4 linked regions of the Saccharomyces cerevisiae S288C genome follow. The gene in region 4 interacts genetically with the main gene of each other region. Each region holds a gene or a part of one and is shown on either strand. Other genes may lie near its edges.

Region 1 (9,743 bases), on a different chromosome or scaffold from region 4:
AGTGAACCAAAATTTTTGGATGTCGCTACTAATGGAATTATGCTATTTTTCAATGTAGGTAATGACCTAAAGGTTTCGAAATTCATCCTAATATGTCTATTCAAATTCGATCGAGGGTCGGATAGTTCTTTTTCCAACGTTTCATTCCATTGTGAAACCCAGGGGGAGATTTCAGAGCGAACTGTAAGTAAATTTCTGACGGCGTCAACCATATCGTCTAGATTCTGTATTTGCGGCATATAAATCACTCTTTGAGAAAATCTACTCTTTACCCTCTTTTCTAAATATTCCAAGATATTTAATTTCGTTGTGCAGCCAAAAATGCAAACAGGTACCCGAGAATGTTCTACCATGTCAAAAAGATTGTATAATAAAGTTTGCCTCACAGGCCCAGCAAATGTATCAATTTCATCGAATATAAAAACAACTGTTATCTTTGTTATACTCTCTCTGTCAACCTCACCACTATCTTCATTTCTTGTCTTCGTGGTCGAATCTAAGAGTAAAAGAATTTTCTCAAACACTTCTGTCAAAGAACCACTGCTAATAGTCTCTAATGAAGTATCGTCAATTTTTTCTTCACTGCCATGAATTTTCTGCAACTGCTGTTCCAATTGAGTTGCTATACCGTTAATAGCTGTTTGTTCGGAGTGAATAAACCCATTCAACCTGATAGTTATAAACTGCTCTTTATAAGATTGTTGCAACAAAGACAGTTCATAGTCTAATAAGTATGTTTTGTAACTTTGTCTGGGCCCCACGAGAATTACTGAATGACTCTCTTTCTGAATAATGGATTGTTTAATGATTCTATCGATCTCTTGTTGACAATCTTGTAAATATGTGAAGATTATCTTTTCGTCCGTAGGAAGTGTGCCATAAAGTTGCTGCAGTAACCTTCTTTGAAGGGAACCAAAACCAGGGTCGCTGTCTTTACACTTTTCATTATCTATAGTACGCTTTTTTAGAATCGCTGCAGTCTCCTCTACCTCTTCGTTTGAGTGCCTCTTTATTGGGAGAAGATTGACTTGCGGTGATAGACGAGCTTCGCTTATAGTCATGCTTCTTCTTTTGAATATTACCGATATTAGTAGTTTATATTTGATATTTCTATCAGTATTATTTAGATTTTTTTTTTTTTTTTAATTGTTAATGCTTTTTCTTAGAACTTTCCAAAAACGAAAGGAAAATGGGACATTCAAAAACTTACCTCACATAGAAAAATGATAAATCCAAAAATACACTTGAACACATGTATGAAACTTAATACAAAATATATGGTTATTTTTTTTTTAATTATATAATAGAGTTAGAATACCTGGTAGAAAGGAGAGTAGAAAAACAAGAAAGAAAAAAAGCAAACAGTAAATACAAATGTACATTTTATCATCATACAACACTCTATTTCTTACCAACAACTTCCCAATTGTCACCATCTTCAACAGTCAATTGAGCAGTTTTATCCTGTAGCTTTTCAACTGCCGCATCAACTTTGTTTTCTTTTGCGTCTCCATTTTGCTTTTCAGCCTCTTCATCTTCATCATCATCTTCAGTACGTAAAACATCATAAACAGACTTCTGGATTTTTGGTTGCTCATCAGTAGTCTTTTTGTTAGTTAGAGACCTATCCTTGTAGGTATTTTTGGTTTGTTGAGGCTTACCAAACTGAGCACCTCTGGCAGCACCCCAATCCAAAGCTGGTTCTTCCTTTTCTCTTTCTCTTCTTGGTGGTCTTGAGGAGCTTTGGAAGTTGGAACCTCTGGCTGCACTCCAGTCAATATCTGGCTCTTCTCTTTCTCTTCTTGGTGGCCTCGAGGAGCTTTGAAAGTTAGAGCCTCTAGCTGCACTCCAGTCAATATCTGGCTCTTCTCTTTCTCTTCTTGGTGGTCTGGAAGAGCCTTGGAAATTGGAGCCTCTTGCAGCGCTCCAGTCGATATCAACTTCTTCTCTTTCTCTTCTTGGTGGTCTGGAAGAGCCTTGGAAATTGGAACCTCTTGCAGCAGTCCAGTCAATATCAACTTCTTCTCTTTCTCTTCTTGGACCTCTGAAGTTAGAACCTCTAGCGGCACCCCAATCAAGATCTGGTGCATCTTCTCTTCCATCACCTTGGAAATTGGAGCCTCTAGCACTACTCCAATCAACATCTGCACCTCCCCCTCTTCTTGGAGCCGCAACAGAAACGTAAACAGTTCTCTCATTCAATTTAGTACCGTTGAACTTCAGAACGGCGACCAAATCTGCTCTTTCTTTCAAAGTAACGAAAGCATTACCCTTTAATCTTGTTGGGTCTCTTAGATTCTTTGGCAAAACAACTTCTTCAACCGCTTCAGGCTTAACTAAACCATCTTCAACCCAGGCTTGAACACCCTCTGGGGTAATATCCCATGGAATGTTGTTTATGACAGCCCTATATGGTGGAGCATCTGGAACAGGGTATTCCTCTCTTCTATCGGAAGAACCGCCCCCCAAAGCAGGGTCTAATCTAGATCTACCTCCAAAACTGCCACCAAAGCCGCCTGAACGCGTGTTATTGCTGTTGTTTTTAGCATGAGCCAATTCGGACAATGGAATAGTGTTTGCATTAGCGGTTTCAATAGGAATTGTGATCTTATTCAAATCGACATCTTCTTCAGCCCAAGATGAACCAAAGGTGTCATCATTTAAAAATGACGTAAGGTCCATCTTCTTTACGGTTTTCTTTGGTGGAGCCATGATGTGTCCTTTTTATTATGGTATTATTTTCCTAAAGACAGATGAAAGCTAATATAAACTCGAGTTTTATGATAATCCCGCTTATTGGTCTACTGATCTTCTCTAACTCTGTAGTTATATCTATCTCTTCTGCTTCTATTTCTGCTTTTCTTTAGCGATGCTGATTTCCGCAAAAAAATTTTCATTCCGTGGTGCGTGATCTGATGAGAAATAAAGCCAAAAAGAAAAAAAGACAAGAAGACAAAAAGGTTGGGCGGCTAAGTAGCGCCAGGATATAAAAAGCAACATAGATTTCAGTACCCTATTATCCTGCCAAAATTTACTTTAAGAAGTCTCTATGAATATACAGGCTAAATTTGGAAACATGAGAAAGGAAAGATGAAGATACAAAGATTGCAAGCAGTCAAGAAGATTTAGGAAAAAAGGAAAAAGCAAAAAATATCGATTTTTATGACTTACAAACTAAATTGATATGTTCGAAATAATTTTGAGAAGCTGAGCTCAATCTGGTACTAATCACTTCAAGTTAGATGTGCAAAGAAAGAGAATAGCATAAATTCAAAACCAAAGGAAGTGCGAGGCATTACCCGCATATTATCGGGAAACAGAAGCCATGTTAGAGTGATTTCCAACAAATGGCCCTTTGCCAGAGATGGGCTCTGCAAAAGAATTGGAAGAAGAGAAGAAATCGCTTCACATTCCGTTTCGTTTCTGGGTCTAATTAAAGTAGTACGGTGTCAATTAGGTATGCTAGGTTTGCGAACTCATGGTTTAGACAGGTATGAACATTATATTCGTCGCCCGTCGGATTTTGGCAAACTTGAGCTGCAAGATTGGTTGAATCATAAGTCATTCCGAGTTTCCCCCAATTTATTAATTGATTCAAGCACCACACGTGAGTGGAATGAACCTGAGCTTTTTTATCAAAATACCGAGGATGAAACTTGGGTGAGACCTTGTGTAGGGCCAAAGCTAGAACCATCAATGATGATGCTCAGATATCACGATTCGAATATTGGTCAAATGCCTCAATTTTGTTATCCAATCTCAAGTCCGATAAATTTTAAACCAGTATTAAAATACATTTTGCAAGAACGTTCTGAACTGTCAGACGGCTTCCCTCAAAAGTATAACACACTAATAGGTAGTCTTTTTGACATTGATAAAAACCCAGAAACCTTAGATGATTCAGATATAGAAGCATTGGATGACATAGAAATGAGCAGTGACAGCGGTAATGTTAAAGAACCAAAAATTGAATTGCAGGCGCTGGAAGAAATCCAACAAAAGCATTTCAGTTTAATAGTATCCAACAATGGAATCTTTCAAACAGGTAGCACTTCAATAACATACATACAGTCTGGCATATCTGGCAGCATAGCTATAAAACCCAACAACGTTGCAATTTTAATATTACTCACTCAACCAAGTGGTCACTTATTGTCTATTTTACCGCTTGATGACGGTAAAGAGACATATTTGCTACAATATTGGAACCTGGGACAAAAAGGTCAGTGGAACATAATCAAGCACCAAAACGAGAAGCAGTTTGTTCTTATACATAAGGAACTAGGCATTTGCAAATTTTTTGAATTCCATTTACCATTTACTTTTCAATTAGTAAACAATTTAACATTGACCGATTCCGTGATTATGAACGGATCCTTTTTCCCAACAAATTACACTGATTTAGATCCCTATTTCATTATATTTATAACAGCCATAAGATATGAAAGGATAGTCTACTTTGTCATAGAATGGAACAACAACGAAATAAAGAAAAAAGAGGTATATCAATTGACAGTATTTGATGGTGAGAAGACTAATATGACAATACCCATTGGACTAAATGCATGTTTAGTCGAAACACCCCTAAAGTTCTCTTTAGTTTCTGCAAATCAAATTATGTCAGGAGAGACTGAATTCCACTCATTCCAATTGAAGGCTCTCAAGGGAATCAAGTCATTTTTTCCAGCTCCTTTATTGTTATTAAAATTACAAGAACTACACCCACATACATTTAAAAAATTCCAATATTGTACCATAATATCCTCCTCGACAGGAAATATTTGTTTTTGCGTCACCGAACGATCGACAATAGTAAATGGTAATTTAAAATTTTACGAGCTAACTAGGTTCAAAGGATTGAAATCCATTTCACCACTACCTTCAAATCCGATAAATTTAGACTCCAGATCCTCAAGTTATGTACTGGTGGTCATAAGTTTTAGTAGAACATTAGAGCTAACATTATCTCTAGAAGATTTGAGATGTTTAGATAAAAAAGACGTTATTAAGCCTTTGAAAAATATCACCTTCAAGCACACAATTGATAGTTCCACAGAGGAGAACTCTCAAATTTTAGCATTTACGTCTTCTAAATTTTATAACACACACACAGGCTCTAACATCAATGACACGAGAAATTCTCAAGTTTGGCTTACCTCACCAAATGCAATAACTCAACCTTGCATTGATTATAAACTCAGGAAAACTCATCAACTTATCCACTTAAAGCAATTTCAAATTTTTAGACATCTTAGGATATGGAAATGTAAGAACCTTGATATTGCTCTGTTACAGAGACTTGGAATAAACCAGTCAAATACCGAAAGTTCGTTAATTTTTGCGACCGACGCTGTTTCTAACAACAGAATATTTTTATTAGATTTAACTATGACAACGACAATCGATAATGATGATCCCGTTCAAGGACTGATAAATATAGAAGATTTACTATGTGATACTGAAAACGAAACTATCCTTCTAAATTTTACGAAAAATAACTTGATTCAAGTAACTAGGGATACGATATACATCGATCCCATTGGTGGGGACAAAGAGTTGCGTAAGATTTCTCCAGGTTGGGAATTCGAAAACGTTACATACAATGATGGTATTTTAATAGTTTGGAATGCTGGGCTTGGCTGTGTCTCTTATATTGAAAATATAGACGCTGTTGATGAGTCTGGCGCCTTAGTTTCAAACTTAAGCAGCAGCAAAGGCATGAGCAAGTTCTTCAAGCAGTTAGGAACTGTCACGAGTGTCAATTTTCAAATCAAAGAGTCTACAGATGATCCAACCAAGTATGACATTTGGATCCTTTTACCAGACTGTGTCATTCGTACACCCTTTTCTGACTGGATTAGTGATTCACTTGATTTTTCTGATGTGTATATTTTGAGTGTTCAGCAGGCGTTAATAAACGGCCCTTATTTTTGCTCTCTCGATTATGAATCATATTTTGAGGTGCACACTTTACAGAACAACTGCTTCAAAAAAGGATCCAGATGTACAAGCAGAGTTAATTTTCAAGGGAAAGATATTAAATTTAGAAGCTTTGGTGTGAATCAATGTTTGGCATTTAGTGCATTTGAAATTTTTGTCATCAATTTAACGCCAATTCACGACAGTAGAGAATTGGATTTTTACAAGCTAAAATTACCGCACCTAGGTAATAACAATTCAATTCTTGAAGTCTGTCCGGACATAGAAAACAACCAATTATTCATACTCTACTCTGATGGCTTAAGAATCCTCGAACTATCATACCTAACATCAAATAATGGAAATTTCTTATTAAAATCTACAAGAAGCAAAAATAAGAAATTTTTATATCTAGACAAAATAAATCGAATGCTGGTATTGAATCAGGACTTGAGGGAATGGGAGTGTATTAGACTATCAGATGGTAAGGCAGTTGGTTTAGATTCTCAACTTCTTAAGGATGATTCTGAAGAAATCCTAGAAATAAAGGAATTACCAATAGCAACAGAGGACAATCCTTTAGAAAAGAAAACTGTATTATTGATCTCTTTTACTAGCTCATTAAAACTAGTTTTATTAACTGCTGCAAAAAACAAAATTTCCAATCAAATAATAGATTCGTATAAACTTGACAATTCAAGACTCCTCAATCATTTGGTCATTACTCCCAGAGGTGAAATATTCTTTCTGGATTATAAAGTTATGGGCACCGATAACGAAATGTCCTTTAACAAGTTGAAAGTCACAAAACATTGCATTGACCAGGAGGAGAGAAATAATACGACTTTGCGGCTCACTTTGGAAACCCGGTTTACATTTAAGAGTTGGAGTACAGTTAAGACGTTTACTGTAGTAGGCGATAATATCATTGCTACCACAAATATGGGCGAAAAGCTCTACTTGATTAAGGATTTCTCTTCATCATCTGACGAATCGAGAAGGGTGTATCCCTTGGAAATGTATCCTGATTCAAAAGTTCAAAAGATAATACCATTAAATGAATGCTGCTTTGTTGTTGCCGCTTACTGTGGAAATAGGAACGATTTAGATTCAAGATTAATTTTTTACTCTTTACCCACCATCAAAGTTGGGCTTAATAACGAAACAGGCAGCCTACCAGATGAATATGGGAATGGGAGAGTCGACGACATATTCGAGGTTGACTTTCCTGAAGGATTTCAATTTGGCACTATGGCTTTGTATGATGTTTTACATGGTGAGAGGCACGTAAATCGTTACAGCGAAGGCATACGGTCGGAGAATGACGAAGCAGAGGTTGCCCTAAGGCAGCGTAGAAATTTACTACTCTTTTGGCGAAACCACTCTTCTACACCAAAACCTTCACTACGCCGAGCCGCCACTATAGTATATGAGGATCATGTATCATCCCGTTATTTTGAGGATATAAGTTCTATATTAGGAAGCACTGCAATGAGAACTAAAAGACTATCTCCCTATAATGCGGTAGCATTGGACAAGCCTATTCAAGATATTAGTTACGATCCCGCAGTACAAACTTTATATGTGCTAATGGCAGATCAAACAATTCACAAATTCGGCAAGGACAGGTTGCCTTGCCAGGACGAATACGAACCAAGATGGAATTCTGGCTATTTGGTTTCAAGAAGGTCAATAGTTAAATCTGACCTCATCTGTGAGGTTGGGTTATGGAACCTTAGCGATAACTGCAAGAACACAGTATAATTCCCTCATTTCCAATAACATTGTCGCTGATAAAATCGTGATTCTCGATCAATGTGCTACGCGTCGTGCAGCGTGACAAGGGGCTAAAAAAAGATACAAGAATTCTTGTTGTTTCCAATTTGCTTCGCCTCAGAAAAAAAAATAAACAGATTATACAATTTTTGTTTGATTTGTATTGGGTACTACATGTTTTAGTAGTTGATACAAATACTTCTTTATCCTAATCGTATATATTTATTTTACCAGCAGGAATTCGTCTTTAATATCGTTTCGACCATCGATCATTCCTCTGAGTATTGCAAAAACATTTTTGGAACAACCCAAACTTAAAGTTACAAAACTCAAAAAAGGAACAAAATTAATAAAACAAAAGAATCGCTGTTAGAGGTTTATTGTTGCACTAATAGAAAATCATAGAACTTTAAAAATTATACTAGAAAGATGTCACAACAAGTTGGTAACAGTATCAGAAGAAAGCTGGTAATCGTTGGTGATGGTGCCTGTGGTAAGACATGTTTATTAATCGTCTTTTCCAAGGGCCAATTTCCAGAAGTCTACGTACCAACTGTCTTTGAAAACTATGTAGCAGATGTTGAAGTTGATGGGCGTCGTGTAGAGCTAGCGCTATGGGATACCGCTGGTCAAGAAGATTATGATAGACTAAGACCATTGTCATACCCAGACTCCAATGTCGTATTAATTTGTTTCTCTATCGATCTTCCAGATTCTTTAGAGAATGTACAAGAAAAATGGATTGCCGAAGTATTACATTTCTGTCAAGGTGTGCCAATTATTCTTGTTGGTTGTAAAGTGGATTTGAGAAACGACCCACAAACCATTGAACAATTAAGACAAGAAGGTCAACAACCCGTTACATCACAGGAGGGACAATCTGTAGCAGACCAGATTGGCGCAACCGGATACTACGAATGTTCGGCCAAGACTGGTTATGGTGTCAGAGAAGTGTTTGAGGCCGCCACTAGAGCTTCATTGATGGGTAAATCTAAAACGAATGGTAAAGCTAAGAAGAACACTACTGAAAAGAAGAAGAAGAAGTGTGTCTTGTTATAGGAGTGTCTCGATCTCTCAGTCGTTAACTTAGTGGCAGATACTGCCCTTTTTCAATCCCATTCCTTTTCTCATTGTATGTACGTATGCCTTTTTTTGTTATTTTAGCTCTAACTATAGCTACTTGTTTTTCTCCCAGTATGTGTATAATCTTATTCTTCTCTACATATAAGTGTATTGCTCAGTAAGTATTATCATCTATTAAAGAAGAATAAAAATTATCATGTATTTATTTACAAGTGCGTATCCTATATATATATATATATATACTTTCGCGATAAAATTTTTTACCAAATACCCTTCTTAACACCTGGCAAATTACCCTTCAGAGCGTTTTCTCTAAATTGATACCTACACAACCTAAAATCACTTAGAACAAATCTTGCATGTCCAGAGTCCACGCACCTATTTTTGATCTGCGTAGATCTCATGTAGTTTGGCAATGCATTTAGTTTTAACTGAGCCTCCAACCTCAGTTTTGTTGGAAGGTTCATATTTCTAGCGATGAATTTCAAAGATTTAACAAGGATTTCATTCTCTTTAAATTGTTGTCTTTTGAAGTTATCCCTAAGTATGCGAGCATTGATAAACCCTGGTGGTAGCTTGGTTTTTATAGGAAATCTGAAATTACCCATCGGTTAATGTATATATTTGTCAGTTTACCTTTTCTTTCGTTTTTCCTTTCAATCCTCTTTATCGCAGTTTGGTTCTTAGTTTGAATATTCCTCTGTTTTCGCTCTTTTCTCGTACAGCGCGAATTCTCCGCCAGCTTTAGAAAGTTGTAATCATTGGTGTTATTAAGGAATAAATAATTAGTCACATACATATGGTTATATATCGTACTCTATCTATCTAGGCATCTTGCTTTAAAAATTGCGCGAATCGGCTGGCTTCATGAATTCCACACTCGGTCTTGGCCTTGCCCTTCCATCTTCCTGCTCTCTCATCTTCACCTTCCTTGACGGGTTGTGTGGAATGGTAATCACCAATGG
Region 2 (6,222 bases), on a different chromosome or scaffold from region 4:
AAATTAAGTTGAAAGTTAAAGCTTATGCAGAAGCCACAGGTATACCATTCACTGACATATCTCCTCAAGTCACTGCAATGAGTCATAACAATCTTCAAACGATTAACAACGAAAATAAGAACCCCCATAACAAAAATAGTCATAATCATAATCATAATCATAATCATAACCATGCTCACAATAATAATAACAATAATAATCAAAAGAGTCATACCCGTCATTTTTCTTTACCAGCTAATGCTTACCATAGAAGAAGTAACAGCTCTGTAACCAATAATTTCTCAAACCAATATGCACAAGATCAGAAAATTCACTCTCCGCAACAAATTATGAACTTCAACCAAAACGCATATCCCTCGATGGGAGCACCTTCTTTCAATTCTCAAACTAACCCACCATTGGTAAGCCATAACTCGTTACAAAACTTCGACAACCGCCAGTTTGCAAATTTAATGGCACATCCTAATTCTGCTGCACCAATCCATTCGTTCTCATCATCTAACATTACCAATGTGAATCCTAATGTTTCAAGGGGATTTAAGCAGCCTGGATTTATGATGAATGAAACCGACAAAATTAATGCTAATCACTTCTCGCCATACTCTAATGCAAATAGTCAAAACTTCAATGAATCTTTTGTGCCTCGTATGCAATATCAAACGGAAGGTGCAAACTGGGATTCAAGTTTGTCAATGAAGTCGCAGCATATTGGTCAAGGCCCATATAATCAAGTTAATATGAGCCGCAACGCTAGTATTTCCAATATGCCTGCCATGAATACCGCTAGAACATCTGATGAACTTCAATTCACTTTGCCATAATACTTTTTTTTCTTTCTTTTTCTTTCCTTCTTACTGTACAAATATTTTACGCAGAAATCAAAGACAAAAGAAAAATAAAAAATAAAAAATAAAAAATTCAACTAAGCAATGACGTCCTACTAAAGTCCCAAAATTTGAGCCGGAAAAAAATGGTAAAGCAAACTATTGCCATCTTTATATTTTGTATTCTGTTTCCGAACACGTATCCAAAATCCTCCCACTGCCTTTGCAGGGTTAGCATTGCTCCCTACCAAAATGATCTAATTTTTTTTTGAATCGTTTTTTGTCAACGATTATTTTTGTTTTAAATTCCTCATCTTCTGAACTTACGCCCAACTATTATTTAATTCATTCATTCATTAAGCAATCCATACGTCCATTCATTCATTCAGTTTTCTTTTTGTCTATTACTGTCATTTTATTTTCAAATCCAATTGTCCTTTAGGACACTAATGTGTTAAAATATCCATTCGCTCAAGCATTTTTAATAAATAGGAAAATACCGTTTGTTTTTCTTTGTCATTTGTATAAATTTTTCTACTGGTTCCTGTCTTGGTTGGCTTTATTATATTTAGGTTTAACTTGTACTAACAATGATACATATTTGTATATTTTATTATAATATCATATCTAACTATATCTAAAATCGTTGAACTATTCAGAATGGAATTGTACACCAAGAAGAATTATGCTATAACACCATAAGGTCATTACATTTGGGTTTTGACTGCTAATTAGTTCGAAGTCGGCGTTAAAATTTAAAGAATATTTATACATATGAATATGTATATGAATGCAAAGTATGCTAAAATATTTATAAAGCAAAAATCTCGGTGGGCTAAACTAGGTCAAAGCAGATGTTATGAAGATATTGGCCCCATTGTAGGGATCATCTTCTCTCCGAATTAAGATGCATATTTTTTGAGAAAGTGCTTCTTCAGGTATATCGTAAGGTGAAGTACTGCTCTCTTCACCTAGAGGTTCCACAGCATCAAACGGATTTACGTACCTTGGGGGTATGAAAGCCGAATGTAGGTGGATAGATTCAAACTGGAAGTTTTCTAACCTACAGTAGTTCTTCATACCTCCTATTGGATAGAGGGTGATATTTCCACCTTCGGATTTTTCGTAGTCAAGATTTCCAGATAAAGTGGTACAAAATACTTCAAAATCACCCTTTCCGTCCCTAGCGCTAGTTGAACCATAAATGAAGTAGCGCCCGTCATCCGATATCTCGAGTATTTCTGTATCCTTAGTCACGTTTAAGAACTTAGTTTTAAAAGATACAACCGGGATTTCGGTCAGAATGTCCTCCAGGAACGTATCTGCTATAACCAGTTGTTGCACATTCTCTTTGTCTGCCATTCCAGATATAAGTATTAGGCCTTTATTATTCAATGCTTTTATGGAAACAACAGATTTTAGGGAATTTCTGATAGGTTGATTTCGACTTTCTGATGTCATACCGTTGGTCTTGGAGTACTGTAATGTCATGTTTGTAATATTAGTGAAGACTATTGCCATTGAATCACCATTTCTGTAACCTAAATAAAACACACCGGTGTTCGTTTTTTTTAAAGGTGATAAAGCATCTTCTTGTAGACAAAATGATAGGGAAGTAATGTCACTCCTACTTTTGTGTTTTCTTGAGCTTTTGGCAGGAGAAAAGATATAGGGATTTGGAAAGGTTTCTGGAATCAAATCATAAAAATGACAACGATAATTTACGGTAATAATCAACGTGTCTCCAACAACAAGAGAATCATGGACTTGGCAATTTTCTTTGAGTTTGACCTGACGAATTTTGAGCAGTTTTAAGGAAGAAAAGTCTTGTAAAAAGATGGCAAAAGTATGCACGTTAGATCTGGTATTAACGTTGTGATAAAAATAATGGCTCGGCCCTTCCTTGATGGCAACTGTTCTCTCAAGTTTCATTGTTTTGAACACATCAGTTGGCTCGGACTTATATTTCAACATAGGATTTAATTCAGCCATGGAAAACCCCGTAAAGAAATTTTCTTCAGAAAAATTATCCAGGGATGAAAATCCTGCGACATAGCCCTTGTTTGTTGCAAATACTAATTTACTATGAAAACATCCTTCTTGAGTTACCAATAAAATACAATTTGCTAATACTCCTATCTGTATCCTGTGTGGAAAATTGAGTGATTTTACGTTAGCAGAACTATGTGAGTGATGACCTTCAGTGAGAGAATGCGATGCATACTGCATATTTAAACCAATCATGTACTTTTCATATGATAAAGGGCGAAAAGCCCTTTCCAACGGATTCAGAAGACTAAGCTTGTACTTTTGTAATGTTTGCTGACGTTTTTTTTTAATCATAGAAAATTTTTTATCGTAATTTTCCTCAACACATTGTCGCTTTATATTATCTTTTCTGTACTGGTTCGTCGTTCCCGTGGTAGAAATGCTTTGATTTTCAGATATGCGAAAATAACGTCGACGTTCTCTATCATAATAAAACCCTGGTAAGTTAGGTGTCATTTGTTTAACGTCCGTTAACTTCCCCTTTCTGCTTTACCAACTGCTGCTTATTTATTCGCCCTTTTTTGTTTTCCATTGTTGTTCATCTCATTGCCTTTTTTTATTTTTCAGTTTTTCCCATATGCCAACGAGGAAAAAAGCCCTTTCAACCATACCAAAAAAAATGTATTTGAAGTAATGAATAAAGAATGATGATCGCTGGCGTTTAACATCTAGCATATATCTGCAATAATTTATCACTCCAGAAGAAACATCCATCGTCAACAATTTGATTTAATTGTTCTCTTTTGAATACATATTCTCTCTCGTACGGTGGGATCTTGTTATTGCTTGCCATTAAAAACCTATATTTTGTCTTTCTTCTGATGATTTCCTGGGATTTCTTTTTGTCCTCGTTCCCTTCCTGAGTGGAGGGAAAATCCAGTCTTCCAAAACCTGGGGGGGATTTTGATCTATTCCTCAAGTTATCAAACGCAAATTCGTAGTCCGAATTTTGCGATTCTATAACTACTGACAATGATCTGTGTTTAGAATCCTCTGGCTTTCCAACTTGGGCATAAAATCGCTCCAATTTTCTTCTTCCTCTCTTAACCGGGGCGATATCTTCATTTGGTCTAAAGTCTTCGAGAATCCAGGCTCGCTTTGTTAAAGGGTTCGTATTGAAGTCAAACAGGAAATTATCCTTAACATTTTTGTATAAATTTGGCGATGTAGATTCAGGGTTCTCGAGCTCTATTCCCAATAGTTTTCTTGTTTTGTTCTCTTTATCATTATCTTTTTCGTGGATTACAGTATCAGAGCAATCTTCCAAATCGCTTAAGTTGTTGAGGCCATTTAAAGGCGAACTAAACTCCGAAATTTTCCGTTTATGCCTATTAGGTGGCATAGTAACCAGCGGTAACTGCACAGTGTGTTTATTTTCATTACGATAGTGAACCTCTGCTGATTCTTTCTTTATGTCCTCATCAAACTGAGTAAGGATGAAATCTTCAGAATCTTGCTCACCTGGCCCCGCAGACGTCTGAGAGGATTGTTGAGGAGCATTTTTTTCGTGACATAGAATTTCAGCCAGTTTACTGTTAGGTTCTTCGAGAACACATTTATTCCGATTTTGCAGTGCTTGAACACGTTTCGCGATTAAGGTAGTCACGTCATACTGCACATTTAGTAGTTCATCGAGACTGAGCTCCTTGAGAATGGATAAGCTTGACTTTAGATACACATTTTCTTCACCAGTCACCATCTCACATACAAACACCTAATGGCTTACAGCATGGATGGAAATGCAGGTATGTGAACGATAACAATGTTTGCAAACGTAAACAAAAAAGGTATTAAAGCTTAAAAGCTTTTTTTTTGTAGAACGCGCTTAGAAAATGGCATAAAGAAAATGGCTATTTGACTTGATTTTGAAAGTTGTTCTCAAGACTCGAATGGTGGAAGATAACAACAGGACGTTTATTACATGGCATTGCATCAGTATTTATCAGAGACTTATGGGCCCACGAAACCCAAAAATAAGACGAAAAAGAAGAAGAAAGAGTCAAAATCAGACGCTAACTCAGACAAAACTTCTTTGATAGTAAAAGAACGGCTAAGTACACTGCAACAAGAACAGGAGAAGTCAGGAGTTGCTTCATTCAGCAAGTTTGACAAACAAAAAAGCAAGAATATATGGAAGAACCTGGAAACAAACGAGCTTTCCCATGCAATAACACATCCTTCCGCATCGTCAATTACTGGCAACGAAAGCAAGAACGATCTAAAGGAAATCAGGGCTCAAGAGCCACTTGTCACAGTAGCAGACAAATCGAAAACACGAAAAACCATATACAGAGACGCTCAAGGTCACAAGATTCAGGAAGATTCCAAGATAGACGATTCTAGTTTTAGTCGATCTAAATATGAAGATGAGAAAGCCGCGGAAAGAGAGCAATACCTGAAAAATTTGAATATGGGAGACGTGCAAAAGCTTGGAATAAATGTAGATGCACATGATAAGAAGAAAAATCAAACTGCCTCGAGTCTGACGATAGAAGACCCTGCAATAACATTTACACATGACAAAGAAAGAACTGTAAAAACATCTTTACTGGGCCGCAAGCTTTATGATAAGCCAGCACCTGAGAACAGGTTTGCCATTATGCCTGGGTCAAGATGGGACGGTGTCCACAGATCAAATGGCTTTGAAGAAAAATGGTTTGCTAAGCAAAATGAGATCAATGAGAAGAAAGTGCAAAGCTACACCCTACAGGAGGATTATTGAAAATGAGATAATATATAACTATGCGGAAAGCTTTGTGTAAAAAATACCCTTTGACAATCCCCATTTGTTATAAGCTTTTTCTTAACAAGATCAACGATTAAATACAAATACCCCTCTTTATATAGGTCTCAGATATACTATTAAAGTAACCTCGAATATACTTCGTTTTTAGTCGTATGTTCTAAGTAGATTCGTCTTTTTTATTATCACGGTCAGCAGCATTGCTTTGTGACTTTGGCGATTGACATTCAGTAGAGTTTGTGCCAGAAGAAGGTTTAATCTCGCCTTTCCTACTGTTCTTTGTTTCTCCCCCAATAGTTGAACCATTGCTGTGCTGTTTACCATTAATGAATTTTTTCAAATCTTGGCTTTCCTTTTCATTGACAACAATACGACTTCCTTGATCTGAAACATTTGTCATAGGAGGTGGAGGTGGGAAGGAAATCGGTTGTCCAAACCCATGTGGTGCTGGTGGCGGAATAGACATTCCATTCATATTAGGGTAAGGCATCTGGTGAGGGTGTAATGGGTGAAGACCATTAGGATGCGTCATAAAACCTGGGGGAATATTGTACGGCAAACCAACATCTGCAACATCATTCGCTCCAGGAATAGGACCCCCAACCA
Region 3 (9,409 bases), on a different chromosome or scaffold from region 4:
CCTTCCCCATTTCCCTATTATTCACCCAAGCTTGCTTGATTTGGATTTGGATAGCTTGCAACGATATACTAATGAGGATGGGTATGATGACGCTGAAAACGCGCAGTTGTTTGATCGATTAAGTCAAGGGACAGATAAAGAATATGATTACGAGCACTATCAAATCTTGTCCATTTCGAAAATCGTTTGTTTACCCTTATTTATGGCCACATTTGGTTCTTTGCATAAGTTCGGTTACAAATCTCAAACAATAGAATTGTATGAGATGAGTAGAAGAATTCTACATTCTTTTTTGGAGACTAAAAGAAGGTGTCGCAGTACAACAGTAAATGACAGTTATCAGAACATTTGGTTGATGCAATCCCTAATATTGAGCTTCATGTTCGCTCTAGTTGCTGATTATTTGGAGAAAATTGACTCCTCTTTGATGAAAAGGCAATTGTCCGCATTATGTTCAACGATCAGATCAAACTGTTTACCGACAATTTCTGCAAATTCTGAGAAGAGTATCAATAATAACAATGAACCTTTAACATTTGGTTCTCCTCTTCAATACATCATTTTTGAGTCAAAAATTAGATGCACCTTAATGGCTTATGATTTTTGTCAGTTCTTGAAATGTTTCTTCCATATTAAATTCGATTTGTCTATAAAGGAAAAAGATGTTGAAACCATTTATATTCCCGACAATGAGTCAAAATGGGCCAGTGAATCGATAATATGTAATGGGCATGTTGTGCAAAAGCAAAATTTTTATGATTTTAGAAACTTTTATTACAGTTTCACGTATGGACACTTACACTCAATACCAGAATTTTTAGGGTCATCTATGATTTATTATGAATACGATTTAAGAAAAGGAACCAAATCACATGTGTTTTTGGATCGAATCGATACGAAAAGGCTAGAGAGGAGTCTTGACACTTCTTCCTATGGCAATGATAATATGGCAGCAACCAATAAAAATATTGCGATCTTAATTGATGACACCATAATTTTGAAAAATAATTTAATGTCAATGAGATTCATCAAACAGATTGATCGCTCGTTTACTGAGAAGGTTAGAAAAGGACAAATAGCAAAGATATATGATTCCTTTTTGAACTCTGTGAGGTTGAATTTTTTGAAGAATTATTCAGTTGAAGTATTGTGTGAATTTTTAGTAGCGTTGAACTTTTCAATCCGTAATATTTCGTCTTTATACGTAGAAGAAGAAAGTGATTGCTCCCAAAGAATGAATTCTCCAGAGCTGCCAAGGATCCACCTGAATAATCAAGCGCTTTCTGTCTTCAATTTACAAGGCTATTACTATTGCTTCATCCTAATTATCAAATTTTTATTGGATTTTGAAGCAACTCCAAATTTTAAGTTACTGAGAATTTTTATTGAGTTGAGAAGCCTTGCGAATTCTATTTTACTTCCCACACTTTCAAGATTGTATCCGCAAGAGTTTTCTGGATTTCCTGATGTTGTATTTACGCAACAATTTATAAATAAAGATAATGGTATGCTTGTCCCTGGTTTATCCGCAAATGAACACCATAATGGTGCAAGTGCAGCTGTTAAGACTAAGTTAGCCAAAAAGATCAATGTTGAAGGGCTTGCAATGTTTATTAATGAAATCCTAGTTAACTCTTTTAACGATACCTCTTTTTTGAATATGGAGGATCCTATTCGAAATGAATTTTCCTTTGATAATGGGGACAGGGCAGTGACAGACTTGCCTCGTTCAGCACATTTCCTATCGGATACCGGCCTAGAAGGTATTAACTTCAGCGGCTTAAATGATTCGCATCAAACTGTTTCTACTTTGAATCTTTTACGTTACGGGGAAAATCATTCATCAAAACATAAAAATGGTGGAAAGGGGCAAGGATTTGCCGAAAAGTACCAATTATCTCTGAAATATGTTACTATTGCCAAGTTATTTTTCACCAATGTTAAAGAAAACTACATTCATTGTCACATGTTAGATAAGATGGCAAGTGATTTCCACACTTTGGAAAATCATCTAAAGGGAAACAGTTGACGATTATGTCTCGTTGCTGATATGTGTCGTCCCAGTACTCAACTCTTTCTGATGAGATTTTGAATATCTCATTTTATTTCTCATCAAACAGCCATGCATGCGACTGAAGTGGACTACTGCGGGAGAACACCGATCTTATCTTTGAAATTGTTGCACAAAAATATTTCACTACCTTGGCGTTTCTCATCTCACCCATTGGGGTGAATCTCGTTATTGCTCCTTATTTTGGTCCATTTTATATTAAATCCTGTATCATGTTTAACATTTTTCATCTTATACCTCATACAAAAAAGAAAAGCTATTTATGAAAGTTAGTTCATTACAAGATGCAAGCCTAAAATATATGCTTGATCTTAAAATTCATGTATAGAAGAAAAAGACCTTACCAACGTTGTTGGTTACCGTGTATAACTAATACCAATCTTGAACATTAACCACTCCTGGCGTGTGGGAGGATGTTCTTAGACTTAATTAAGAATCTCTAAATTTTTTTTTATTTAATCGTCCCTTTCTATCAATTATGAGTTTATATATTTTTATAATTTCATCTAACCTCAGAAATAGTGTTGTATATATCATTGTCCGTAATATCATCGTGAAAACCAGTGTCCTCGTTAATTATTGTCTGAATTAGCCATTCTTTAGATTCAGTGTGAAATATGTAATTAAATTTCTTAAATTTCAGTGATATTTGACTTCTCAATCTTTCGAGAAGCTTCATCTGAGATTTACCATTATTTTCGTTAGCATATATGAGAAACTTTAACTTTCGATTAGATAATTCTGATCCTATTCTGGGTACTAAAGAATCTAAGGCATTTAACAATGGCTCTGTATCATCTACATCAATATTGGGTAAATCAATTGTAAGCATTCTACCTGCGCTCAAACATGCAAAAGCAAATTTGACAAAACTGTCCAACTCAGATCTACCCCAAACAATAACAATGTAGTCATTTAACATTTTCTTCACTCCACATATCTGATCTCTTAAATTAGATCCGCGTAAGAATTGTGTATAAAATGAAAAAATATTGTTGGATTTAATGATTCCTCCCTTTGATGGAGAATCTAACGATAACCGAAAACTTTCACCCGAAGGTAATAGGTATTGGTATATTAAATGTGGTACTATTCTTTTCTTTTCAATGCATGCACTTATGAATTTCCAGTGTAGTGTAGGCCACCCCAACGCCAAAGTTTCTAAGTACTTTAAGCTTCTTAAATGCCGTTTTGTGATTAGGCAAGCAAATCTGCAGTCTGCAAATAGGGAATGAGGTTTCCAGGCTAGCTTCAAGGCCAATTCTCGAATATTATCTGTATTACCTTTATTGACTAAAGATTTAGCTAGCGGATGAGTGAAGTTAAATAAAGTGGAAAATCCTGACTCAATTACAGTGCCGCCTTGCGATTCAATGGTCTGTCGAAGTTCCTCTCTATTTTCGAATAGGCTTGTCAAAACAAAAATACATTTATCAAATACATTCCCTGTTCTGATTTCACCAGAAGAAAAAAGCAGGCTTGGCGCTCCTGCATGTTCAGCTAATGCGTCTCTAGAATCCTTTTTAACAATTTCCTTCTTTTCGGAGCTCGATTCTATTTCGTTATTGTACACTTCAGTATGCGTATTTATGTCCTTTTCGTCATCAGTATGTTTCTTCGGAGACAGAACATTGGTCATTGATTTCCTTCCCCTAATGGGATGTCTCAAGTACCTATACGCGTCGCCTTTATTTTTCTCATTATCTTCTAATATGATCTTCGCTCTTTTAGCCCACTCGCTTAGGTCAAGACTGATCGAGCTTAGTGCTTTAATTAACGTCCTTTTCCCCAACAATCCGCTTGCATTTTTTTTTTTCAAATGAACCGTATCATATCCTCGAATACATCTTATTATGTTGAGATCATGGCTACGACATTCTAGACCAACGACTACGTACTCATTTCCATCAAAGGTAACAGCATCCCCTATTCTAATATCTAAGTAGTAGATGTCCTCATCTTTGGTTAGCGATCTTCCTGTTTCGAAATAAATCCAACAGCCATCTTGATTAGTGTCAACTTCCAATAAAATACCCGGATAAAATTTGTAATTCCACGTATACTGACACCATACCGCATTTCCAAAAATTATGTCGTCTTTCGATAAGAAACTATTATCTGCCGTTCTAATACCTTCAGGAAACACGTAAGACTGTTCTTTAGAGTCTTTGCCCGAACCTGTCTCCCCTGTTTGTATGGTAATGCTGCAAGACGGTTCCCTTTTGATAGAAGCAGCATCCAAATCTGAATTTCTTTTGAGGTGTTTTGTCGGTGATGTCTTAGTGCTTCTGTTCTCCTCCTCTTCACCGATCTCTATTGTATCTTTTTGACGTCGCTTTATTGTTCTTCGGTTCTGAATAATCTCCTGTGACTCACTTGGAAATAATTGCATGAGGTTTTTCTGAAGTTCTGAGCTCTGTCCTTTGCTTTCGTGTTCAATCAAAGCTACATCCAAAGACTCTGTGCCATCTTGTTTATCTGAATTGCATTCTTTATTATCATCATGAAGCTGAAGTGAGTTCCCCTTGCTTTTTTTTATCTCCATTAAAGTTTCTTCCTCGACTACCAGCTTTTTTGGAGACGTTTGAAGATCTTGCTGCTCTTCAACTTCAGGCAGTTCTTGGGTTAGTTCAACCTCGCTCATGATTGTACTTTCCTTTTTCGTATCAAGCTCATTTGGGGACATACGTTCTGTTTCATCACTTCCTGAATCAGATATTTGCTTTCCTGAAAGTTGTAAGTATATTCTATCGGTTATTTCCTTTTGTTCGTTGAAATCAGATGAACCGGCTATGATAATGTCATCTCTGGTAGCTGCATTTGAAGAATTTTGTATATCGTTTGAAAAAACATTGTTTGTCTCTACTTCTCTCTCGTGTATATTAAATGTATCTTTTTCCTTCGGAATAGGTGAAGAATTCGAGGGTTTTGACATCGTATTCTTAGATGGTGAACTAGTCTCAGGAACTTCCAATATGGGTTCAAAATTAATCCGAGAAAGAGTAACGGGAGTTTCAAAGGTTGCATTCAAAGCATTTTGTTCAGGAGAATTTATTATTTGGGTTTTTATTTCTTCTGTCTGGCCAGTAGAATGAAAAACAGGTCCCTTCTGAGCAGATATGCCTTGGGAAAGCGATGAAACAATTATCTGTGTCTCTAATTCATTATTTGTTTCGGTATTGAAACTTTTAGATAAGGGTTGCGTATCGATTGAAATACTATCTAAAGGCATTTCCTGTGTTCTTGGATTATTGACTATTTGCGTAGATCTATTGCTATTATTTTCCGTTTTGTCTTTTGAGTATCGGAATATCCACTTCTTGGATGGTTCCCGATTGTTTACACTCTCACTGGAATACATTTCTTCTTCCGCATTGTTGCGTGAAGGGGTGCCAGACACAGCACTATTAATATCGATATCTAAATTGTTCACGTCATTCTCTCTACCCGAAACATTCAGATTCTTTTCCAATTCGTTAATCTCCTCTGATTCATTACTTTGTATTATTTGATTGTTCCGTTCTCTGAGATCATCTGATGAATAGTTCTCACTTTTCTTTTTTACTGGATTTTTTTCCTCGATAGCTCCTATGTTATCTTCGTTATTGTTAAAAACCTTGTTTACATTTCTTGTGGTCCGGCCATTCCCGGTAATTTTGTTCTTGTCATAAGAGCTTATCGAATTAGGTGATTCTGCTGATATCATGATTTGAGTTTTTTGAACTCGTTCATCTTGCATTCCTCCACTTTTACTTAATTCGTCTTTATATCTTTTAGGTGTAACAATTCCTTCCAATGCACAGTCATAATTATCAGCAGAACGTTCAGCCATCTGTACAAAAGTGGCATCCGCCTCTGTAACTTCTAATGACGCATTTTCTTCTCCATCATTCTGCTCTCCATAATAGCAAAACCCAGTATCTGACTTCAACTTTTTGAAGGTTTTCTGTTCCAATGGATCAGTTGGAGTTTGAAAAGTCATTTTTTTTCTTAACATCAGAGGAGTGTCTTCCAGATCGGAGCTTTGATATTTGGTCAAAAGATTTTCTTTACCAGGGGTTCGATTGCTTTTGAAAAAGTTAGCAATTCGGTCAAGGTCAGGAGTCCTTTCATTATGCAATATGTTAGCATTTGGTCGATCATTATCTCCTACTTCAATATTTAACTCATCATCATGTCTTGGACTCTCGTCAAGTAATCCCAGAGATTTTTGAAATATCTCACTTGTATTCATAAACTTGACAGGATTTGGATTTGCTTTGGGACTTCCTTCGATTATGTTTGTGCTATTTACCTTGTTTTCCAACGGATCAACGGGAACATTCATTTCGTTCATGTCGCCATCAGCCAAGGGAGAATGCAGTGCTTCCTTTATAGCGCTTTGGGTGACTCGATCTGGAGAGCTTTTCCATTGAACTAACTGGCCTGACATAGCCCTGATGTTGAAGATTTTCTCACTATGCTCTTTTCTATGGCGTTTCTCTATCTTGCTCACTTCACATTGCTCATCGTTGCAAATATCCACGAACAAAAATCCTCGCGTGTTTAATCAGAACTGCACTCTGAAAATTCAAAGCCGTGCCAGTAATAAGAAAGACACAAGGTTATATAGAGACACATCGAGAAAGTATATTATAGATTAAAAAAATTTTGCCTTATACTTTAGTGCACTTGAAAAAGCAATAAAATTTTATTTCATATGTATCTAACGCTAACAAGGCCGTATATTTATTTAGACCTTATTTTGATGGGGAGCTGCCAACATTTTCTCCAATAAATCAATCTTCCTTTGATAGTCTTCAATAATTCTGTTTTTTTCGTCTATTTCTTTGTGTATTTGATAAGCATTTTCATCGTTTGTATCTGGATTCCCAAGTGTTCTACTTGCACTATTTCTTCTGGTGGAAACATTGCTGACACTTCCCCTTGAGGTTTCGTCGATATAGCTATAGTTTGGAATATCATAGTTGTTTTTCTTCTCAGTTAACACTTTAGCCCTATAATTTTCATACAATACGTTGTTTGTTACATCTTTTAATTCCTGAAGGTGAGAACCTAACAGTATTGCTTTTAAGTATATAAAATCGGAGGTGTTTTGGTCTTCGACCACCAAGCTACCCCATTCGTACGTTCTGATATGCTCAACCCTATTTTCCGAATTTTTATTAAAAGTTTTGCTGCAAACAATGGCAAATGGCGATATTTCCTTGATCTTCGTGTCATTATCGTATTTGGATTTTGCTGAACTGGAATCGATGTCCATATCGTACAGAGCTAATGTTTCGCCTAGGGTGTCACTTTTAAAATCAAAAACACGTATATTGTTCTGAGAGATTTCTTGGCGCACAATGTCTTTGTGTAAATTTAATTCAGTTTCTGTGAGACCATCGGCTTTTGGAATAATGGGAATTAAATTAACTTTATCACAAATCGTTTTCATTAACTCAATATCAAATTTTTTGACTCCTCTTGGAGTACTCTTCAGAAAGTATAAACAAACATGAGGCCTCCCATCAGTTTCTTTTGTGTTTCTCTTTATTCTGACCTCTTCTTTTAAAACATTTGCAAACTGTTGGTCTAAGTAGTTTTTTATAACAACAGAGCTTTGTGAATTGTCGACATTGTCACCGCAGCCTGGAAACAATATGATATCTAATGTTATGGGTACGCCTAGTTCATCGTTCAAATACACTCTTCTGGTGACAAGCTTCAGCCCAGGACTCAAATGGGCTGTTTTATATCCAGGATCTATATCTTCGATGGCGTTTCCATTTTCTGGTGTTACATTATTTGTCACTTTATCATCATCATCATCATAATCCCCATCAGAAAGCGATATATCCTGACCGCACAGATTGTTTAAAAACGTTGATTTGCCGCTGCCTTTTTCTCCAAGTAACAAAATTGACAACTGCAGTCCTTTCTTGTAACCCTTGCGACGTCTTAACTCATCTCTGCTGAGAGTATGTTGTTCAAGAGCTGAGTGATCTTTCATTGGGAACATTTGATTATTTACTGACTTTATGTACGTATAGTAGCTCTTTTTTTGTATCGATTTATAAAAATGCCTGTTCTTACTATTCTTATGGGAATGACACAAAATGTAGACGCATGTCTTTTTCAGGCGTCCTTAATATGAGCGATCAAATTTCGCATCAAAAAAACTTTATTGAAGTTAGAATATATGAAAAAAAGCCACGAAATTTCTAAAGGCAACCACAAATTGTCTTATTATTGATAGAATATAAAAAATAAGTCATTTATTTATATGTACATCTGTGCAAATGGTAGCGGCGCTCTTTAACTGTTTCTACATACCATGCATGCTTGTCTAAAACCATTTCGAAGTTCCGTTGCTAATTCAGAGAAAACTCTTCCAAGCAAAGTCGGTTTGAGGCGTTTTCTGTTATATATTAAAATCGGTATTAGCGTCAAGCCGTTTGATTACATGATCATTCGTATTCGACCCACTAGGGTTATCCAATTCGATTTTGCGATAGCATATCTTATTACCGTCTGTAACAACCGCCTTTAATTTGCTTCTTTGATGAGGTTTGGATAATTCTATTACTGGGGAAGTGTGACTTCTTTGAAATTTATTTTCATCATTTTTCTCTGTTATTCCTTTACAGTTCGAGCTATTTTCTTTTATAATTAATTGTTCATAATTTGCTATCTTTGTACTGTTGACTCTTTTAATTGCTAGAGGATTAGTTGTTTCACCGTTAAAATCGGGATAATGCCTTTCAATCTCCTCTAAATAACCTCTTGAGACGCTCCTTCTGCCAACTTTCGGTAGTATGTCAGAAGGGGGACTTATGATTTTCCTAAAATCTTCGTCATTAGCACTTAACGAACTGGATAATTTCAATCTTGGATTGTCCTTTTTCTTTGTTTTTAATGGTCTGCTATCTCTAAAAATTAACTTCTCAAAAAGTTCGGCTTTATCCTTGACTTTATTAGATTTTCTCAATCTTGTGATTGAGTCAGACGATTCAGTAGATGTAGGCGTCATCTCTTTATAATCAGGATCTCGTGACTTAGTGAAATCCATTGTAATATTATTCCAATCATCGTCCAGTAGTTTGGGCGATGAACTTGAAAATACAGAATTTGTTGAACTTCTAGAATAATTAGAAAATGTCGGAGAAGGGATAAAAGGTGGCTTTTTGACTAAGTCTTCTTCAAATGTTGTATTTTTTTCCAATCCGTGGAGAGAATGTATTTCTCCATTATTCTCCTCTATGTATGTATCATCAGAATCCGCTGAATGGGTCCTAAATGCTTTATCATTGAGTTCGATGAATTGATTCATTCCTTGTAGTATTGCAGTATGAG
Region 4 (7,392 bases):
CCATCCAGCTGTCATCACTGGCAATAATAGCATCGTCACAGATACCCAATGCTTCAACATATATTTCCGTGGCAGTTCCACGGCAACGGCAAAAATTTGCAAACATAATACTATTCTCGTTATCTCTAATGTTATACTGTCTGAATTCCCCCATTTCAGAGGATTAAACCAGTTCAAGCAAACAGGACCCACAATTAGCCCAAATATACCTGCTACGGTGGACTCACCAATATAAAGCTTCTCCTTGACATAAAGTGACACTAAAGAGAAGATAGATGAAAAGACACCAACACATGCATAAGCAACGTGCGCCTTTGAGACTTCTAGTTGCTCCCAGATAGCCATAATATCTAGCTAAGTTCAGGATTTTTTTTTATAATGTACAAAAAAACACGATGCTTGGGAAAAATAAGTGCAGTGGAAAATGAAGCTTAAAAATCAAATGTGTGTAGAAAGTGTGATCCTATGTAAATCGCTAAGTCCGCTTTATCTTGACGATAACGGATCCAGCAGCTTTTAGATTATTAGCTATATCACACAGAGTTGGCTTAGTGCCCTTGCTAATCAAAAATGAAAATCTTCCCAATCCGTACGGAGGGGAAGAGGCACTGCCGCATCGCAAAGAAAAATAAGATTATCAGCATTATATTGTTTCTATTATTATATATGGGACTAGGTGATAAGATAAAAGTTAAAACGGGACTCTTGTATGACCTGGTCAACGATATCATAAACCGTGAAGTCATATTCTATGATGGCTTTCTCCAAGAACAGTGTTGTCACCTCTTGTGACCGCAAGTGTATCCCCACGAGGACATGGAATTGCAAATTGTAGGTAGTTTGTAACCAGTGTTTGAGTTGCTTGAGCGTCTTCAGAAACGGATCTATCAGGTACTCGTTGTATATGACATCCATAGCTATAACGTACACGGAAGAACATGTTTCACCTATGAGTGACAACTCAGGATGCAGAGAGTGGGTCTTTTTGTCTTGCAAGTTTATCTTCTCCCAGTCTAGAGCGGCTACTTCCAAATGCAACGTAGACTTAGATGGAAGTGACGCTGCGGTGATATCAGCGTCGCCAACTGGTTCGACGGTGGGAAGTTCCAATCTTAGTGATCGGGAAATGCACCGCTTTCTGGTCAACTGTGATAAGTTTTCCATGATGTTATCTTTTAATTTATTAAGAATGCCCTTCTGATCTGTCGACACGTAGGTGTCGACGAAGTTACCAAGAATCACGGGCAAAATACCTGATATTCCTGCTCCAAGTTCCAAGATACCTCTCTTGCCGCGATCAGCGCCCGTGAGGTCGACCAGCCTGGGCAACTCAAGCTTGTGCCCCTCGCAAGAAGACCCGCAGGTTACTTCCACCTGACTCCCAAGACGGAAAGGTGCAGCGCTAGTACTATACAGCAGCCAGTTGATGAAGAAAGGTGTGGTAGACCACAAAACGTATCCTGTGGTGGAGTTTCCGTTGTCTCTGGACGAGCGCAAGCTTGATATGGACTGCCCCACGCTAACATGATAGCTATCCACAGCAACATTCTGATCTTCTTCAACACTACTAGCCTTATTTCTTCTTCTCACTCGCTTTTTTTTTCTGCCGCCTTCCAGCCCAGAGGGTTCAAACGTTATCTCTAGCACACCGCCCCTTCTATCCTGAATACCCAAATCCTGCGCCAGTTTCCCGGACTGGCCCTCCAATTGTGTGTACCGTTCGAACACGTGCTCGTATATTGTTTCCTCATCCAGTAGCCATAACTTGAATGCCATTCTGCCTAGCCCATTTGCGTCTTCGCTGCCGTAACCATTCTCTCTTCTTGACAGCACTGCCTTGGTCAGTTCTCTATATTTGTCGCGCCGCCGCAAAATGCACCCACATTAAAGAAGACGACGCCAATCGACACCCTAATTTGGAGGTGTAGATGCACAATGGCACATGCAGTTGGGTGCATTGTGCCAGCAATCTCGTCTCGATTTCTCTACATGTAACTTGTATATATATTTGAGAGAAGACATAATCGTTGGTGGGACTTGGAGGCTCTTGGTAGGTCGTATTTGTGCATCTTGAGAGAAAGCGAAACAGTGCTGCAAACTCAATACGTAAAAAATAACGCAATATGTGGGCTCAATTATCATATACTAGACCAGAATCTCAGAAGACTGACTTAACGTCGTTGTTTTCCACAGATCAAGAGCAAAATCCATTAAATGACTACCAGTACCAGATCAATATTAGGGAACTGGAGGAGTATTACAACAAGACGATTTTAAACGAGGATAACATACAGGAAACAAGCAGTGAAATATCTTCGGCAGTTTCATTCTCTCCACCAAAAAATACAAACGCTATTCAACCGGGGCTACTGTATGATCCACAGTTAATGAACCCTTTTCTCCCATCCGCTCACCTGAATAGCACGGCACCTACTACTTTTAAAAAGAAACTAGAGGTACAAATAAATCCGGACTATGTCCCAAAATCTTCACAATTACCATTAACTTCACAGAATTTGCAACAGTTGTCTCAACAAAAGCCCAAAAATGATGCTTCTTTTTCATCAGAGAAGGAATCCTCAGCTCAACCTAAGGTGAAAAGCCAAGTGCAGGAAACTCCCAAACAATTATACAAGACAGAGCTGTGCGAATCATTCACTTTAAAAGGAAGTTGCCCTTATGGCAGTAAGTGTCAGTTTGCTCACGGACTCGGCGAATTAAAGGTTAAGAAATCGTGCAAGAATTTCAGGACGAAGCCCTGTGTGAATTGGGAGAAACTAGGTTATTGTCCTTATGGCAGAAGATGCTGCTTCAAACATGGCGACGACAACGACATTGCTGTTTACGTGAAAGCTGGTACTTACTGTAACGTCTCTTCGACTAGCAAACAATCAGACGAAAAGAGAAGCAATGGTCGCGGCTCCGCCAAGAAGAAGAATCTAAATGTTAAAGTAAAGGCTTTGCAGAGAATGACCTGGTGAAACAATTCCTGGCCTGGCGAAGACCGGCGTCTCAACTAAACTCAATTATTTATTATTTTTTTCTCCATGTTATGCTTTTTTTTTTTCTGCTTTTTTTTTTTTATTCTCATTTTCATGTTTGCGATATTGGTAACTCTAAAAAAAAAAAACTTTTATTTAAGTTAAGCTACTTCATGACGGTATATATGCATATTTGTGTACGTGTATTCTTCATCTATACGTAACGTTTGTTTTGTTTTGTTTTTGTTTTGTCAAATTCTCAATCATTCGGCACTACTTTTTATCGTTTCTCAGACATATTCCTTGAACATCGGCCCATTCTCTGATGGTCATTTCGTCGATTTGCGAAACAAATGGCTCGGCGCTGAACAGCTTTTCAATTAGCTCATTTAGCGGAATGGGTTCAAAGGTATATATTCGCTCCAAAAAATCAGGGAAGGCTTCAATTAGTTCGGTTAAATGATCAAATATTTCTATCTTACTGAAATTTGCCACCCCACCATGCTCACCTTTATTATCTGGATTAGCTGTGGACAGAATTTGAGATGCAGTTTGTAAGGATTGAATGATTTCAACCTTCGTCCTCATAGGTTTCAACCCCACTGTTTTCAAGCTTTGTCGAAGCTCTTTCATTGATTGGGACATCATGATCTCACAAAATTTCTCGGGAGAAGCTATGGAACTAGCTGCAGAGGTATCAATAATGTCGTTGCTAGTAGTAGGATTTTGTGTAGAATCTTTAGTCGAAATTTTGGAGGAATCTACCAATTGGATATCAGCAATGCAGAATTGGTCATCAAATTCTGTCTCCTCTTCTTCAGAATCATTTGCCTCAACTCTATAAAAGTTATGTTTCACCAGTTTGGGGTTTAGCTTAACTACGCTTTCTTGCAATAATTTAACTCTGATGGAACTTCCTATGTTATTCTTTTCTTCTTCAGTTTTTAAAGTTGTAGTAAGGTTCTTTTGAGGAATAATTGTAGGGGTTCTTGTAGCTGGTACCTGAACCTGATTTGATGCTTGTGATGTTACCCCTGTTTTGTTGTTTTCTACTTTCAAAGGTGATATTAACGATCGAACAGCTTTGAATGATTCCTGTGTTAAATCGATTATCCCATCCAAAGGCGATGTGTTTGGAGTGAAAAACTGTGTGCTGCCTATCGTGTCGGTGGCTAATGGTGGTCTTTCATCATTTTCAATGAAAACATACCGATACTGGTCTAGTGGAAACAATGTGGATGTCTCATCTGTAGTATCTGAGACAATAGAAATATTGTCATAATCATTATCCGTACTGTTTTCGCATCTTCTACTTACCTCAACAGACATAGGTTTGCAAGCTTTATAATCTGTCAGTGAAAATGCATTTATACGTGTTCCCACAGCCAGTTCAATATCTTCACCAACAACATTTCCTACCGGTTGTTGTGGCTCTAACCCGTTTCCATATTCTTGAGAGCTTGTAGAATCTCCCCGTGAAATAATTATGCTTTCTTCGTCTTTCATAATTTCACTTTTGTCATCCATTACTTGAGACAACGATAAGAAATTTACTGCACTTTGGGTATCGCGTATCCTTTCTTCCTGCTCTGGTTGAATAGCCTCATCGGGAAGCTCGGGTGGTAATTGTGATGCTGTCCAAAGTCTTTGTTGTGAGGATTCTTGATTGTCTAGAGAATTCGAGCTTTTTTCGCTTCCATATAAAAATTTCTGGACTTCATTCAAATCCGTTTCCTCACTTTGCGGAAACTTTTGTAGAAGAAGTTTCATAATATCTTTCCACTCCTGTTCACTATATGTATCAAAAGTAGCTTTTTCACCCTTGTTATTCCTTGCTCTGGGAGGTTTATCACTGTTTCCTTCATTTTGCGTCTTTATTATGTCCAAAACCTTCTTGTGCTTACCTGATAATTGCTTTAATAAGCTGGCAGTCCTTGAACGTTCGTAGTTATTAATATTGAAATCAGTTATATTTTTGATAATTTTAGGGTCTCGTTTAGTTTTAGGTTTTGTTTTGAGTTTCGAATTAGCCTTCCTTATTGCTGGTCTTCTTTTAGCTGTTACATTTGCATTGCTGTGGGTATCATCTGCGTTACTACTCTTGAACGAATACTTGAATTTTTCAAGTTTTAACTTAAGATTTGTTTCTTCCTCTGCGTCATCAAGTCGGCTTTGAATTTGAGTGTTAATGAATATGTTCTCCTCGATATTTGATCCGCCTAAATCGGGATGGGAAGTGCTGACTGGGTTACAACTTTTATCAACATCTTTATTTCTTTCTGTATCGTTTTTCGTAGTCTCTTGCGTCATAGGCGATTTTTGTGCAGTTACGCTTTTTACTTGCGTACCTATTGAATCATCATCAGATGATAAGGAAAACTGCATTTCCGGTACTTGAGTTTCCATTCCTAAAGAGTAAGCATTCTGGCTCTCTCCATTCAGGTTAGTTTGATCGGTAACGTTCACATAATCCTCGTTTTGTAAAAACTTCAAATTCCGTTGTGCCCTCTGAAGTTCCATTATTAAGTTCCCCAACTGAACTACTGGTTATTATTATGGAACAGAGATAGATAATATCTCTCTTGCTTGTTCGGAGTTCCATTCATCTCTATATTTTTAGTATGCAGCTTTCGCGTTATAAATTAAACAAAAAACCACTAAGTGACAAAGAACTACGCATATTAATAGTATACAACAAAAACAAAGGAAAAAAAGAAATGAAATCAATTGGCGAAGCAGAACAAGTTTTCTTTTCCCTACAATGATTGTAAATTCATATATGGTGCTCTACTGGTGATTTTTCATCGAACAAAAACCCGTTTTTAGGAAGGACAGAGGTCCATATCAATATAATTAAGAAGGCATGTTGGCCTCTGTTTCTTAATATATTCTAAATAAGATGTAAGGCCTTGTAATTCAGTTTGTTCACAAAATTAAAAACTGTTTAATGTTTTTTGTTTTGTTGTAGTATTCGAGCATTAAGGATAAAAAAAGCTTGTGAATAAAAATCTTTCGCTAAAAATCAATATAAGAAAATGGTAAGCAGCTGAAAGATAATAAGGTATGGTTAAAGATCACACCACCCTCTTCAATTAGCTAAGATCATAGCTAAAGGTACAAAACCGAATACGAAAGTAAATAAATTAATCAGCATAAAATTAAATAATAAACCACCTAAAATATTAGAAGCTAATCTTTAACCTGGAAGACAGGACAGAAAAGTAATTACAAGAACATATGTGAAAAAAAATAGTTGATATTTTAAACCAAATCAGAAATTTATTATACTAAAACTATATCTATGCCAATTATTTACCTAAACATCTATAACCTTCAAAAGTAAAAAAATACACAAACGTTGAATCATGAGTTTTATGTTAATTAGCTTATTGTTTAGCGTTAGTAGCGGCAGTCAATTGAGCTTGTTTAACCAAGTTTTGTGGAGCATCAAAGACTGGCAACATAACTTCAATCATTCTAATCTTAGAGTTGTCTTGGAAGTCCTTGTCTTGAGTCAACTTTTCCCATTCACCAGTGGTAGCAACTCTGTGGGTTTCGTAGTTTCTAGCACCAAAAGTTGGCAATAAGGCCAAGTGGTCCCAACCTTGAATTTCATTATATTCGGCATGAGGACCGTGAATCAATTTTTCAATGGTGTAACCGTTGTTATTCAAGACAAAAATGTATGGCTTCAAACCCCATCTAATCATGGTAGAGATTTCTTGAACAGTCAATTGTAGAGAACCGTCACCAATGAATAAAATAACTCTCTTCTTTGGATCAAGTTCTTCAGCGGCCATAGTAGCACCCAATAGAGCGCCGACTGTGAAACCAATGGAACCCCACAAGACTTGGACGATAGCGTATACATCTGTTGGGAAAGTAGTTTGGTTAATACCGAAGGCGGAAGTACCGGTTTCAGCAATAACAATATCACCTTCTCTCAAGAAGTTACCCAAATGGTTCCACATCCATTCTTGCTTCATTGGAGTGTTAGCTGGAGTAGACTTGGTAATTGGAACTCTAGCTGGGACAGCAACAGGTTTGTAGTCCTTGACGACTTCTGGAATAGCATCCAACAATTTTTGCAAGGCAAATTTCATTTGAACACCTGGGAAGGTGGCGTTTCTGATCTTGATGTGGTCAGAGTGGAATTCAACGATATTTTTGGTCTTGTAGGAGTAAGAGAAAGAACCGGTATTGAAATCAGACAACAAAGCACCGATAGACAATATCAAATCAGCAGATTCTACAGCCTTCTTAACTTCTGGTCTAGACAAGGTACCAACGTAAACACCACCGTATCTTGGGTGTTGTTCGTCAATAGCACCCTTACCCATTGGGGTGACGTAAACTGGGAATTGAGTCAAGTCCATCAACTTCTTAGTTTCAGCCTTGACATCATGTCTAG

What was found.
Region 1: mutations in SLX4 (region 4) and MMS1 together harm fitness more than expected from each alone (negative genetic interaction), as found in Saccharomyces cerevisiae (3 studies listed by BioGRID).
Region 2: mutations in SLX4 (region 4) and SAE2 impair growth when combined (synthetic growth defect), as found in Saccharomyces cerevisiae (3 studies listed by BioGRID, with this or other methods).
Region 3: of SLX4 (region 4) and RAD9, a mutation in one rescues a mutant of the other (synthetic rescue), as found in Saccharomyces cerevisiae (4 studies listed by BioGRID, with this or other methods).

Annotation. Positions count from the first base shown.
Region 1 is NC_001148.4:867,244-876,986, forward strand, and holds MMS1 (Mms1p), read left to right. Parts: upstream 1-3,459; coding exon 3,460-7,683; downstream 7,684-9,743. Other genes in the region: ORC4 (origin recognition complex subunit 4), read right to left, coding at 1-1,061; TIF3 (Tif3p), read right to left, coding at 1,402-2,712; Rho family GTPase RHO1, read left to right, coding at 8,125-8,754; mitochondrial 37S ribosomal protein uS14m MRP2, read right to left, coding at 9,039-9,386; MET16 (phosphoadenylyl-sulfate reductase (thioredoxin)), read right to left, coding at 9,604-9,743. UniProt on the Saccharomyces cerevisiae protein: Component of multiple cullin-RING-based E3 ubiquitin-protein ligase complexes (CRLs), which mediate the ubiquitination of target proteins. The CRL associates with CDC34 as the E2 ubiquitin-conjugating enzyme.
Region 2 is NC_001139.9:169,751-175,972, forward strand, and holds SAE2 (ssDNA endodeoxyribonuclease SAE2), read right to left. Parts: upstream 4,573-6,222; coding exon 3,535-4,572; downstream 1-3,534. Other genes in the region: MPT5 (Mpt5p), read left to right, coding at 1-821; YGL176C (uncharacterized protein), read right to left, coding at 1,665-3,329; BUD13 (Bud13p), read left to right, coding at 4,795-5,595; chromatin-binding exonuclease XRN1, read right to left, coding at 5,777-6,222. UniProt on the Saccharomyces cerevisiae protein: Endonuclease that cooperates with the MRX complex in processing meiotic and mitotic double-strand breaks by allowing the endonucleolytic removal of SPO11 from the break sites and ensuring both resection and intrachromosomal association of the broken ends.
Region 3 is NC_001136.10:896,978-906,386, forward strand, and holds RAD9 (chromatin-binding protein RAD9), read right to left. Parts: upstream 6,504-9,409; coding exon 2,574-6,503; downstream 1-2,573. Other genes in the region: DNA-binding transcription factor ADR1, read left to right, coding at 1-2,029; septin SPR28, read right to left, coding at 6,804-8,075; MFB1 (Mfb1p), read right to left, coding at 8,478-9,409. UniProt on the Saccharomyces cerevisiae protein: Essential for cell cycle arrest at the G2 stage following DNA damage by X-irradiation or inactivation of DNA ligase.
Region 4 is NC_001144.5:411,390-418,781, reverse strand, and holds SLX4 (Slx4p), read right to left. Parts: upstream 5,502-7,392; coding exon 3,255-5,501; downstream 1-3,254. Other genes in the region: NHA1 (Nha1p), read right to left, coding at 1-345; RKM5 (S-adenosylmethionine-dependent methyltransferase), read right to left, coding at 673-1,776; TIS11 (Tis11p), read left to right, coding at 2,124-2,981; PDC5 (indolepyruvate decarboxylase 5), read right to left, coding at 6,368-7,392. UniProt on the Saccharomyces cerevisiae protein: Regulatory subunit that interacts with and increases the activity of different structure-specific endonucleases. Has several distinct roles in protecting genome stability by resolving diverse forms of deleterious DNA structures.